3 linked regions of the Rattus norvegicus genome follow. The protein of the gene in region 1 interacts with the protein of each later gene in a biochemical or structural test. Links are inferred from orthologs where the notes say so. Each region holds a gene or a part of one and is shown on either strand. Other genes may lie near its edges.

What was found.
Region 2: the proteins of Nup155 (region 1) and Nup98 form a complex in vitro, tested with the Homo sapiens proteins (2 studies listed by BioGRID). The link is inferred for Rattus norvegicus from reciprocal best matches to the Homo sapiens genes NUP155 and NUP98.
Region 3: the proteins of Nup155 (region 1) and Gle1 form a complex in vitro, tested with the Homo sapiens proteins (2 studies listed by BioGRID). The link is inferred for Rattus norvegicus from reciprocal best matches to the Homo sapiens genes NUP155 and GLE1.

The regions. Positions count from the first base shown.
Region 1 is NC_086020.1:58,962,551-58,967,155, reverse strand, and holds part of Nup155 (nuclear pore complex protein Nup155), read right to left. Parts: intron 4,359-4,605; coding exon 4,228-4,358; intron 2,568-4,227; coding exon 2,376-2,567; intron 1,477-2,375; coding exon 1,338-1,476; intron 522-1,337; coding exon 386-521; intron 1-385.
Region 2 is NC_086019.1:165,905,620-165,910,186, forward strand, and holds the end of Nup98 (nuclear pore complex protein Nup98-Nup96 proprotein), read right to left. Parts: intron 2,166-4,567; coding exon 2,054-2,165; intron 1,968-2,053; coding exon 1,750-1,967; 3' UTR 786-1,749; downstream 1-785. UniProt on the Homo sapiens protein: Plays a role in the nuclear pore complex (NPC) assembly and/or maintenance. NUP98 and NUP96 are involved in the bidirectional transport across the NPC. May anchor NUP153 and TPR to the NPC.
Region 3 is NC_086021.1:33,612,876-33,617,480, reverse strand, and holds part of Gle1 (mRNA export factor GLE1), read right to left. Parts: intron 3,576-4,605; coding exon 3,347-3,575; intron 1,939-3,346; coding exon 1,826-1,938; intron 1,679-1,825; coding exon 1,609-1,678; intron 1-1,608. UniProt on the Homo sapiens protein: Required for the export of mRNAs containing poly(A) tails from the nucleus into the cytoplasm. May be involved in the terminal step of the mRNA transport through the nuclear pore complex (NPC).

The DNA.
Region 1 (4,605 bases):
ATCCCTGTAAAGGAGCAGGTCGGAGAGTGACAGAACACAGGTCACCTCGTGTCTTCACCTGACGTCCAAGCATGCATGTAAGTACACATGTGCACATAGCACATGTATACACACACAACACACTTGTAAGTGCTTTCTCAATTTTCAGAAGGCTAAAATCTTACATATAGGCTAGAAATTATAACCTGGATCCAGGACTTGATAAAAACCCAGTTCTTTTTTTCCCCCTCCCCTAAAAACCCAGTTCCCTTTAACTGAGAACAGAGTTAAATTTTATAAAAGTTGTACTTGAAAAGTTCTTTTCCTATATTATCGATAAAGATTTTATACAAAGAGAGATCTGTCTCTTAAAATCCCAACAATCAGCCCAGGGTTGAGGACTCACCTCTCTTGGAAAGTCTGAAGACCAACCACATCCTCTTCCGGTTCCCCATGCTTATAGAAATGGAGTCCAAGACCCTGAGGATCTTTCTTCTCCGCAGCAGTAAGAGACAGTTCCACCACACCCTCATAAAAGCGCACTGATGGGAAAGACAAAGGCCAAGGGCTCAGAGCTGACTACTAAGCTGCACATGTTTTCCTTAGCAGACATAGAAAGGAACCAAGAATGGAATGCTGTATTTCTATTAGAAAATATTTCTGATGTGATTATGGAAAGAAGGGTCTAATCTGGCTAGAAAGCACATATTTTTCTTGGAAAAAACCTTTATATATAAAATAACAAACAAGTATCAGAGAAAAAACTTGTAATTTAAATCTGTGCTGATAGTTATAGTTTTTACTTTTAAAGTTAGACAAAAATGTTAGGCATTTAAAAATTAAGTATACTTTAGTAGTGTGGCTTAAAAAGAACTGAAACTCAAACTATATTAGCCAGAAACAGGAACATGTATACAATCTCAGGCTTTGGAGGGGGAGGCAGAAAGATCAGAGGCTGAAGGCTATCTGTGACTACAAGGAGATCAGTTCAGGGCCAGCCTGAGGTACATGGAAGACTGTCTCAAAAAAATAAACGAGCACTGTCTCACATGTACAGAGGCTAGTTTACTCTTCAGGATGAAAAGGAAAAAATAAATGAAAGCAACCTCACAATTTAAAGTGTCACTGTGGTCACAGACGCTAGAAAACTGGCCTCTGAGTAGTCTCTAGATCACTGTGCTGTGTTCACACATGGCCTTGTGTCCTCTCACTTAAAGAAGACAAAGAAGGGGGTTGGGGATTTAGCTCAGTGGTAGAGCGCTTGCCTAGGAAGCGCAAGGCCCTGGGTTCGGTCCCCAGCTCCGAAAAAAAGAACCAAAAAAAAAAAAAAAAAAAAGACAAAAGGATTTGGTTCTCACCTTGCCGATACTGAGCACACACACTGGGGAGGTCTACTTGGTTGCTGATTTTCTGGTACTCCTTCAGAGACTCCCTCAACATCCTCTCTCTCTCGCTCTTACTCTGAACTTGCCGGGAACGCTGAAGAAGTTCATTTGCCTAAAGAGAGGACACAAGTGTAAACAGAGGCAAAGCCAAGCAGGCAGACGGTGCTGTCCGTATGCTTAGCGGATCTGACTAAATGTACATGTGCTTATCATCATTATAAATAAAAATTCTACAAACTTACTTCTTACTTTTAGGCAGAAAAGATTTTGACCAAAATAATCCTAGCTAGTCTTTCCCAGAGAGCCTTGTCTGGGAATGTTCTTGCCTAGTCAATACATTATTGGTCAGCAGGCAGATCATCATGTGACACTTAATTTTTTTTCACCTGTAGGAAAGGATCAATAAGAATTGCCTCATTAACTTTGATTCACTCCAAATTTTACTTAACGTTTTAGTGACTTTCCTTACTTTTTAAGGAAGGAAACAAACTCCAATTTTCTTAATTACTAAATTAAGTGATTTTTCCTAAATTGCTAACTTTGACCTTTTTAGACTTTATGTGTGTGGGTGTTTTGCTTGCATGTATGTCTGTGTAGCACGATCCTGATGCCCATGGATGTCAGGGCAGGGCAGCAGAACCCTTGGGACTGGTTTTACAGACAATACTAGCTGCCATATGGGTGGTGGTAGTTGAACCTGGGTCCTCTGGATAAACAGTCTGTGCTCTTAACCACAGAACCCAAATCACTACTGTCCAGTCCTATATGCTTTGTCTTAAACCATGGCCAACACATACTGCCAAAGAGTCAAAATGTAACACTTAAAGGAGTATGCATGTATGTTTAAGAAACCATGTCCTTCAACCCATGTCTCAGTTGAGGATTCTGACACTGTAACACATTAAGAACTGATCCTGAGGTGATATGAGGAAAGATCATTATGATTCTCCATTCCCACTCATCATTATGAAACCACACATATAAAAACACTGAAGAAGCAGTGACACAAACCTTGGAACAAACTGCATCATCTGTGCTATACAGAAGCGGACAGGTGTCCTGCAGATGTAAACTAATGCCATCTACAGCAGCATTGTCTCTGATGTAGCAGTTGATGAGAGAAGCAATTAGTGCTCCAGTGACCTCTTTGTCCCTGATTACCAGATCCTTAAAGGTAGTGATCTTCAGCTGCTCTTGAAATTCCTAGAAAGAGAGAGAAAACCTTTCATCAAAATCAAAGAATACTTTATTTCCTCACAAAGTAAAATTTGTTTGTTTTTTGGGACAGGGCCTCATGAGGTAGCACTTGTGGCCTAGAACTTACTATGTAGATATGGCTGGCCTTAAACATAAATCTACCTGCCTAGAATCCCAAATGTTAGCATTAAAGTTATGAGCCAGCATGCCGAAATTTCATTTGTAATAAAAGACTCTATCAATAGACTCTAATTTAAATAAGAATAGGGCTGGGGTTTGCTTCCTAGCACTGACAAAGAAAATACACCAAACACTGACATAGCTCTGCAAAAAAGCTGCAATAAAATCATATAAGGATGCAGTTAGCCTCTAGAAGGTTTAATTCAAACCTCTGGCTTTATGTATGAGAAAAGTTAGATCAAGGCAGAGTCAGCACTAGTATCAGGACACTTTGGTCATTGGGAAGAACCTTCACTAGGCTACATGTAAACCTCTGGCCGGCCATGTGTCAGCACCTGGAGGTTCAGGCAGGCAGACCTCTGTGAGACGGAGGCCAGCCTGGAGAACACCCTTCAGTTCCGGGATAGTCAGAGCGACATAGTGAGATCCTGTCTCATGATCAGACAAAAAGAATCTTGTGCTTTGTTTTTCCTTCTTCTTTTTTCTTTTTTTTTTTTTTCGGAGCTGGGGACTGAACCCAGAGCCTTGCGCTTGCGAGGCAAGCGCTCTACCACTGAGCTAAATCCCCAACCCCGCTTTGTTTTTCCTAAATAATGTTGCAATTCCAGAATTAGATGCATGAATTTGACCTGCATTTTACATAAATGCTCTTGCTAAGGTATAGCTCTAAAGTGTAGGGTCATTTATAGTCCAGTACGTATTTTTATAGTGATAGATGTTTTTCTTAAATTTCAACAAAAATATCTACAAAATAGTGCAAGTTTTGGAGGAAATATCTAATTTGCATTCCTTGAGCACATAATTAGTAATGGAAGGCAAGGAAGGTTTGAAGACAGATCACAAACGACACAGAGGCTATGAAGTTCCTATCCTAAGTTTATAATCCAATAAAAACCAAAACATCTTACCTGGAATAAAAAATAAGATGGCTTTCATCAACTAAATAGAAGAGCTTCACATTTTAAAAAGGGGAAAACAAAAGTTTATGTAAAAAAAAAAAATCAAGGAAGACTAAACAACATCCCTAGCCACTCTCTGGCCACTGGGAAAGAGAACTGGAGATCAGTTTTTCACTTTGCAACTGTGGGGACTGGGTAGGCCGCTCAGCAGTCAGTAGAGCTGCTCTTACAGAGGACCCAGGCTCAATTCCCAGCATGCACATGGAAGATGACAGCACAAGGGGACCTGATGGCTTCTTTGGGCACCACCAGGCAGGCATTTCATGCTCTTACAAAAATATAGGCAGAACACACACATGCATCAATATTGTATTTCATTTATTTATTTAGTTTGAGATGGAGTTATCCCTACACAGCTCTGGCGGACCCGGAGCTAATTCATTATGTATACCAAGCTGGCCTACAATTTAGAAAGATCCGCCGCCTCAAAGGCATGTGCCACAACATACATACAACACACATAAACTTAAAAAAGAAATAAGCATTTTGAGTATTAAATAACCCTGAAGGACAAAAAGCCACCTCACCTTTTGAAGTTCTCCTACAATGACAGTAAACTGATGTTCACAAAGGAGTTTCCACAAAGCCAGAGCTTGGTACGATTTTCTAACTAGCTGCTGGATTGCCTGAAGTGAAATCTTCTCACTCAGTTGAGCCTCTAATGACAAAATACAATTATGATATTTTATCAAATGACACAAGGCAAACTGCTTCTTCACGTCAAATACAGCATAGCTAAGAGTGACATCCCCACGTCTCCCCTGCCTCCACTACAGACAATGGGGGCATTCATTCATGTTTTCATTCCCATGAAATACACTAGCATGAATACACATGAAAACATTTGCATATGCAAATTCATTTGCATTTGACAAGGAAAATAAAAACACTGTAGTGCCTGTGTC
Region 2 (4,567 bases), on another chromosome or scaffold:
GGACAATGTGGGAATTATTACTGCCTCCCTCCTCTTTGAGGTAGGTCTGTAGTTCCTGATGACATGCTGCCTTCCCCAGGCGAGATGGCAGGTCAGTTTCCAGGGTGTCGCTTGTCTCCATCCCCTAACAAGAGTTCTGACACAATGGGGCTGGAAGATGGGTTAGTGGCTAAGAACACTGGCTGCTCCTCCAAGAGGACCCAGGTTTGATTCTCGGCACCCTTAAAGTGGCTCGTAACTGTTCCTAATTCCAGTTCTTGAGATCTGATGCCCTCTGGCTTCCACAGGCACTAGGCACATATGTGGTGAACAGATATACATACAAGTAAACCACAACACACGTAAAATAGTAATAAACTCAGACAGACAAAACAAAAACAACCATAATGCTGAGAATTGAGAGTGGGAGTGATAGGTATGACAAATACACTGTATACATGTAAAAAGTCCTTGGAGAGTGCTGCCAGACACATACAGCGCTCTGGGATTACAGGGGTGTGCTAACAGCTTGCCTTTTTATGAAGATTCTGAGAAGTGAACTTGGGGTGTCAGGCTTGTGTGGTTAGTGCTCTGATATGCTGAACTCACTCCTCAGCCCCCTTGTTCTCTTAACTTAGGATCTGTTTCTTTCTTTTTTTTTGGTTCTTTTTTTCGGAGCTGGGGACCGAACCCAGGGCCTTGCGCTTCCTAGGTAAGCGCTCTACCACTGAGCTAAATCCCCAGCCCAGGATCTGTTTCTTAAAGATTCCAGAGTTCCCAAAACACAAAGACAAAACCACCAGGAATACTATAAACATTTCATTTTATTTTTTTTTTAAGAAAGTACTTCAGAAAGAGGAAAATAATCTAGATCATTTATATATATATTTTTTAATAAAAACCTTTACATAATCTTCATGCATAAAGACCCAGGGGTGGCCATATTGTCTGTGACAGCCCCAAATATCCGCTCTTTCAGGCTAGTGCCTGGGACTTCCCATAGCCAGCAGCAATGTGGTGAAGGCCTTCCCTATCTGCCCCTGGGCCCAGCCAGACCTGTCGCAGTGACAGCTTTACCTTCTGAGAAATGTTCTTGGCTAGATGGGAGGGCAGGGAGGAACACCCTTGACATTCTTCATCTAAACTCCTCTGGCAAATCGAGGAAAATGACTGATGATCAAGGGTCAGAGCAGTTCTGGGGCTTCTCAAGAGTTGTTCTCTGTAGCTTGGGGCCACTGCACATGATAGCATGGTGTCCAAAGGATATACAAGGCATGAGTAAAAGCCTTGAAGATCTCCGCCTCCATGGTAGACAGCCCTTCTTTCTTAAATATGTCAAAGAACAAGGTCCAACTCTCTTGATTCCCAAACACACTGTTAACTGAGAAATCTACTTGAGAGACAAATCTGTAGTAAGGGAAGGTCAGTCAGTCATATATCTGGGGTGAGAGTCAGAACTCTGGGTGTGGAAAAGAATTCCCTGGGTTTTGGGAGGTTCTGCCAAAGAGGTTTTATTGACCATTTTTCAAAAGAAAAAAACTGAATGGTCTTGAGGTTGATCAATGGAGACCTGTGTTTTTTGTTGTTGCTGTTCCAGAAGCCCTTATGAGCTATGGTAGGATATGCTCAGTATTATGAAAACCCCTGAATAACTAGAGGATGCTGCGAAGGGCAGCGAAGAGGAGCGGAGGACTCCCAGAGATTGGCAGAGTGTCAATTAAAACAATGTGGGAGACTGTGGTGGCGAGTGCGGATGGGCAGGAGCCAGGCTCATTGGCTCCCAACAGTCAGTTCTCGAAGGTAGGACTGGGTAAGGCCTCGCAGTTCCTCCAAGGCATAGTCCTCAGGCATAGGGAGCCTGCCAATGTGGGGAGCCAAAAGACGCAAAGGGACTCGCTGAGGGTCCGGAGTGGAGTTGGAGGTGGCGTCAGGAGTGTGCTGAAGGCTCAGAACTACCCGCAGTAAGTTGGCTACCCGCTTGGCCATATCTAGAGAGAAATACCAGAGTGAGTACTGAGAACAAGGCACTGGTGTCGGGGTAACGGCCATGAGCAAGCAGAGCCCACATGTTTACCTGACTGAGCCAGGCGATCCTTGGCATTGTAGCACGGAATCTGCTCTATCCGGTTACACAGTGAAGTCACTTTGGTATGTAAGTGCTCTAGTTCATAGCCTGAGCAATCCACCTACAGGAAAACAGAAACCAGTAAGGACAAAACAAACCTCTACCTCACATGCCTCCATCTCAGCACTTCAATGCATGGTCTACGGAATGAGTTTCAAGACAGCCAGGGCTATAAACAGAAACCCTGTCTCAAATAACAAAACCAAAACACTACCACCACCAAAACAAAAAGCCCCATGTATACCTCAATCCCACTCACAGATTACACACAATCCTAAGGACAATGATAGGAGGGGAGAAAACCCAAGAGCTGGTGGCAGTGCCCACGCTACCACCATACCACCTAGTTGCTAAGGCAAGGTACTAACAGTGAACATGAGGGAGTGAACACAGAGCCTTGGGCTGGACAGGTCCTGAGATATGATTCACAAGTCACATAATTTTTACACAACACCAAAAAACATAGGATACATCTGATTCAGACACATAGTATGACACTCAGCAACACACATGTAGTAAGAGGTGACACTTAAACCAGCATTTAATTTACAACTCCTTATTCTAAAGTCACAGCCATTTCTAAAACAGTGCAGGACCTACTCATTTATACACTCTCCTGATCCATCCCTACGGTTCCAACTATAGTCAATGTATTGATTTCTAAGTCCTCAGTTCTAGCCCAACACCAAACTTCCGTTCCTGTGCCACACTCCTTGTTGAAGCTTGGACCACCATTACTTCTCACCTTAAACACCTTAGGAGCTTGGCCACACTACTGTGTTACTCTCTATAATCATGGTGTTGGGTTGTTTTTTGTTTTTTTTTTTAAAGATTTATTTATTATATATAAGTACACCGTATCTGTCTTCGGACACACCAGAAGAGGGCATCATATCTCATTACAGATGGTTGTGAGCCACCATGTGGTTGCTGGGATTTGAACTCAGACCTCTCTGGAAGAGCAGTCAGTGGCTTAACCACTGACCCATCTCTCCAGCCCAATCATTTGTTTTTTTGAGATCCGGTCTTGATATGTAGCCCCAACTGGCCTAGAACTTGTATATTCCAGGCTGGTCCCAAAGTTGCCATTACCCTCTTGTTTCATCATGGCATATTATAGGCATGTAGCACCACACCTTGTCAGAGACATTAAAAACAAACCAGATTTACTTTTCTCCTGTCACCAGGTCAAAGGATGTCTCCTTTCACTATGTGAGTTTTGGAGACTGAACTCAGGTCACCATGCTTGGTTACAAGTGGCTAGAACTCACTTTGAAGAGGGCTTGCAGAATTCACTAATTTATCCCTAAACACAAACTACTCTTACCCTCTGCTATCTTTGCTTGAATTTTACAGACAAGAAAACCTCAAAGAATTGTAAGCTGCGGAAATAAAGAAACCAGATGTCTGTTTCAAAGTAGGGGAAACTTCCTTAAGTAGGCCATTTGTCAGCTGAGACCTTTCTAAAAACACGTCAAGTTTGTAAAAGAAACAGCTAAGCCCTGTAAGGTGCAACACATGCGGTAAAGAGGAAAACAGCGAAACAGAAGGGGAAAGTTAAAGATAATATTTTGTGCATGATGTTTATCAGCATGTATGAGGGCAGAAGAGGGCACTGGATCTCCTGGAACTGGCTAATGTCTATGAGCCACCATGGGGGTACTAAGACTTGAACCTCTGCAAGGGCAGCAAGTGATTTTAACCACTGAGCCATCTCTCCAGCTCCAGACTGGATTTTAAGTGAGGGGTGCGTTTCATTCGGTTATGATTATGAATACCGAGCTACACTCTGAGTGGCATATAATCAACAACCCATGGCAATCTTTTCCTTTACTCTGTAGTATGGCTGGCTTACTCAGTCTTCCCCACTGAATCAGTAAGGAAAAAACGTGCTGTTTACCCCAGTAGCTCCCAAATCCACAGTCCTCAGCATATTTTGGGTTCTTAATGACTATACTGCATAAATGAACTGATTTCAACTAGAAATGTTTCTTCAGTGACTACTAAAATATGCCACTATGTACCTGGCTTAGGGCTATTAATCAGAAATGGATAAAAACAGGAACTGTTATCAAGATTTTAGTAAAGGTAAGGTAGTCTTGTGCCTATTTTGTTTAACCTTCATGAAGACCCTGTTAGATACATGCTATATCTATGCACAGGCTACTCTAGCTTTCACTCCACTCCTCCTGGGAAAGAATGAGAAGGCTTAATCAACTTTCATTACTTAGTCAGTGTGGGAAACCTAATAGTCTGACCTGAGACTTTTGAGCTCTGAACTTCTATACTCAACAGAAAAGGTCACGGCATGGTTTGGCAGTGTACCCTGTTTTGGGAAGAGAGAGTAACTCACACTTCTGAGGGGGAAAGCAGCAGAGCTAGCTATTGAGATGGTTTAGCTGCTAACGGTGCTCGTTGCCAAGCCGGCTGACTCCCAAAGAGAAACTCACTTCCACAACTTGT
Region 3 (4,605 bases), on another chromosome or scaffold:
GTAGTAAGACCCTACTCCAAAACAATCACCCAGTGATTATTTAAATCATTATAAATAATTTACTATCCTGAGAGGTGGCTCAGTGGTTAAGAGCACTGACTGCTCTTCCAGAGGTCCTAAGTTCAAATCCCAGCAACCACATGGTGGCTCACAGCCATCTGTAATGGGATCCGATGCCCTCGTCTGGTGTCTGAAGACAGTTACAGTGTACTTATATGTAATAAATAAATCTTTAAAAAAAATAAAATAAATAATTTACTATTAATCTCTAACTTATGAAAAAATGAATCAAGGCTGAAAGATGGCTCAGTGGTTAAGAGCATGAGGGCCAGAGCTCATTCCCAGCACCCACATGAGGCAGCTCACAGACTCCATGGGATCAGCGCCCTCTTCTGGCCTCCCCAGGCACCTGCACTCACACTCAGTCACACACAGACTTCACAGAAGCCCAGTGTGATATGGCACATGTCTGAACTCAAGAACACCCAGAAGGGGGGTTGGGGATTTAGCTCAGTGGTAGAGCGCTTGCCTAGCAAGCCCAAGGCCCGGGTTTGGTCCCTAGCTCGAGAAAAAAAAAAAAAAAAAGAACACCCAGAAGGCTAAGATGAATTCAAGGAAAGCCTGAGCTACAGTGGTCTACTACCTCAATAACACACAGATCAGAATTAGTAGTTGGGTGGTAGAAGACACTAGGCCAAATCTTCAACCTCTAAAGCCAAAAAAAAAAAAAAAAAAAAATTTGTCAATGGCCTTTGCATGTGGTTTCTTTGTCCCCTCAGTACTTCCTCAGCACCTCCCCCAGCACCCCAACCTACAGCTGCTCAATAAAATTATTTGAGCTCGGGCTGGAGAGATGGCTCAGAGGTTAAGAGCAGTGACTGCTCTTCCAGAGGTCCTGAGTTCAATTCCCAGCAACCACATGGTCCCTCACAACCATCTGTAATGGATCCGATGCCCTCTTCTGGTGTGTCTGCCGACAGCGACAATGTACTCATATATAATAAATAAATAAATCTTTTTTTTTTTTTTGGTTCTTTTTTTTCGGAGCTGGGGACCGAACCCAGGGCCTTGCGCTTCCTAGGTAAGCGCTCTACCACTGAGCTAAATCCCCAGCCCCATAAATAAATCTTTTAAACCCTTTTTCCTTTTCTGTGGTACTGAGGATTCAGTTAGCTAGGCCTAGTATGCACCTGAGTGTTCAACAATAGCTCCAGCCCAGGGGCTTCTGGCTTTCTCCTTTTAAGTGTCTCACTGAGTTGCACTTCACACAGGCTGTACTTGAACTTGTGACACCACAGCCTCTGCCTTCCCTCAACCAGCTGGGATTAAGGGCCTATACTACTAGACCCAGCTCTGTTTAAAGAAGAAAAACAAAACAGTAGGAATGTAACATACATTTGAAATATGTGTGTGTGTGTGTGTGCGCGTGTGTGTGTGTGTGTGTGTGTGTGTGTGTGTGTGTTAGTGGAGATGGAACCTGGGCCCTTGCACATACTTGTCAATTGCCACACCACTAAGTCACATTCTCCAGCCCTGAACAAACACTATCGAAGGTTGCAAAACTAAGACAACCAAGTGAAGGACAATATTCTCACCCATCTGACCCACCTGCGATGGTGGAGATCTGGCTCACTGGGATGGTGGCTGCCTTCTGCAGGTCCATCTTTATCTTTTTGATCTACCAAGAGAATGGTTACTTGTTAAGTGGGCTTGTGCAGAGCTGAGCACTTGCTTAGAATGAGGGAATATGATAGACCAAGTACGTTGCTAGAACATCAGGCTGCCAGGCACCACCAAAATTTTGGCCACCCGATTTCTCCCGTACCTGACTGTCCTTGCTGCTGGTCAGGTCCTCAAAGGCCAACACGCATTTGGCAGAAGCATCCTGAAGTTGCTGGTACCACTGCATCGTACTATCCTGTACCTTCACCTGCAGGTCTGAGAACAAAGACAGGCCTTAGTGGCAGGGAGCTTATGCAACATGGTGTCTGAACTAGGACTACACTATGCACCGGCTGCTTCGGTGTCACGGTCACCCTACAGAGCAGACACTAACACTCTTTCCATTTAACAAGAAACAGGCACAGAAAGACACACTGCTCTGTCCATTTCTGTGGCCAGACTTTTGCTACATTGGGTCGTGGGGGTGGTTCTTTCTTCCATTCTTCCAACCCCTAACAATAGATAGGATAAAAAAAGGATAGAGTGGAAAGGAAAGAGATCCCTGAATAAAGTCAGGGGCCAGAAAGAGGGGATGTTATCATTAGACTACTTCGTGCTGATAAGGAGTGTTGAGTTCTTTGGGGCAAGTTTGATCTTCACCAGCAAGAGATCTAATTTGGGACGCAACTACTTAACAAACCATAGCCAACAACAACCAGAACCTCCCCACCTCAGGGCCCTAGCAGTTATGAACCCTTAGAAAAAAGTCCCCAGAACCCCAGACATTACACAGTCACAGAAACTATCTATAGCTGGCAAAATCATAGTCAGCTGCTGTGGACGATATGAAGCAGTCCTAGATTCCACACCTGGGATTAGAACAAAAACCTATTTTTGTGTTTTAAAGAAACCAAAACTCCAAAACTGTCACTACAGATCCTCGAACATATTAAACAGGGGTAGCTGCACTATTATTTAAAGTACATAGAAGTGGGGTTGGAGAGATTGAAGTTCAGCAGATTCACACATTACATACAATCCTCTGAAACTCTTTTTAAAGAACAGTTGCTATTCTTATTGAAGAAAGAGCGTAGCTACTGGATCCCAGCAGCCACAAGGTGGCTCAAAACTCCCTGTACCTTAAGTGCTCTCTTCTGGCCTCTGTGAGCACCGGGCACACATGTAGTACACATAGATACACGCAGGCAAACACTCATGCACATAAGACAAAAACGAGTAAATCTTAAGCAATTCTTTCAAAATAAAATATGGTGGTGTATACCTTTAATCCTTGCACTCAGGGATCACAAGCAGGGGATCTCTATGAGTTCAAGGCCAGCCTAGTCACAAAGTAAGTTCCAGGATGGTCAGGGCTACACACCAAAAATACCCTGTCTCAAAAACCCGAACCAAACAAACAAATGCTCAAGCAGTAGTGATATTTATAACACCACTCTCACTAGATGTAGACAGGCTTTCTGAGTCCTGGGGAACATGGCAGAATCTAGAATTGGCTCCAGATCAACCAAAACTGTATGTAACACATTAGGCAAGAGTTCTGATGAACTGGGTGGTCCTGTAGTGTGACACCTTCACGTTTGTCACATTTGCTTTTGCTTTTTTTTTTTTTTTAATATCCTAACACCTAGCCCAGTTAAAGGACTGCATCCACACCACAACCCACCTTCACTCTGTGTCCCTACTAGGCTTGGGCTGGGTGCAGAGGTCTTGGTGGGAGCCCCTGGCCCCTGCTGCACCTGTGACTCCTGCAGCTTGACCCGAGCCTCTTCTTCATCTTTCTTCTTCATTTCAGAGGCTCTGGTGATCTCCTGCTCCAAATTTGAGAGGAGGTCCCGCATTTCCTGCAGGACTCGCTCAGCCTCAGCTTGGTTCTCTGCTGTGGGATAGCCACTCTGTCAGAGTGAGAGACAATAGTTACCACTGACTTCCTAGATAGATCCTGTGGGGCTAAGTCATACCACACACAGTCCATTTCTAAAGTGGGCCAGCTGAGTCAGTGAGTACACAGGGTCAAACGTTGGCACCTACTAATTTCCTGTTCTCTGAAGGAGTCACTGTTAAAGAGCTGGGAGTGAGGGTGGCTCATGCCGAAATCCTACCCCCTGAGAGGCAGAGGCAGGAAGATTGCTGCAATTCCGAGACCAGCCAGGGCTAGTGAGTCTCGGTTGAGAGAGAGAGAGAGAGAGAGAGAGAGAGAGAGAAAGAGACTTCACAACCCTTATGACACCCTGAATTTGATACCTGGAACCCCCCCATAGAGAGAGGAGAGCACTGACCCTACAAAATTCTCTGATTTCTAAACATGCACACATACAACATAACATCAGAAGGTTTAGCACAGTCACCACCCCCACAGCAGCCACCCAGGACGTTTCGAAGCTTTCAGCAACACTGCTCAGAGCAGTCTTTTTTAAAAAACCTGTGACAAATATACTGTGTCATATACCAGTAATAGCAGCTAGCAATCCTTGGAACAACGCCTTAAGTCCCAAGTCATGTTGAGCTACACAGTAAGATCCTATAACAAAACAACAACAAAAATACAAATCAAAAAACAAACAAAAAACCCAACAGTGGGCTAGAGAAATGGCTCAGCAGTGAGAAGCATGTGCTGATTTTGCAGAGGGCCTGAGTTCGAATCTCAGATAATGGCTCACAACCATCTGTAATGAGAGCTGATGCCCTCTTCTGGTGTGTACTTATATATAATAAAGAAAGAAATCTTTTTTTTTTTTTTTTTTAAGAAAGTTGTCATTTTAAAGCTTCTATTAGTGTAAATCATTCATAAGTATTTGAAAGTTGTATTTCAGCTTTTTTGGTAAAAGGGTGTGGTTGGTGGTTAGTTTGTGTGTGTGTGTGTGTGTGTGTGTGTGTGTGTGCATGTGTGTGGGTGAGTGTGTGTTCGTAGGCACAGCTTTGAAA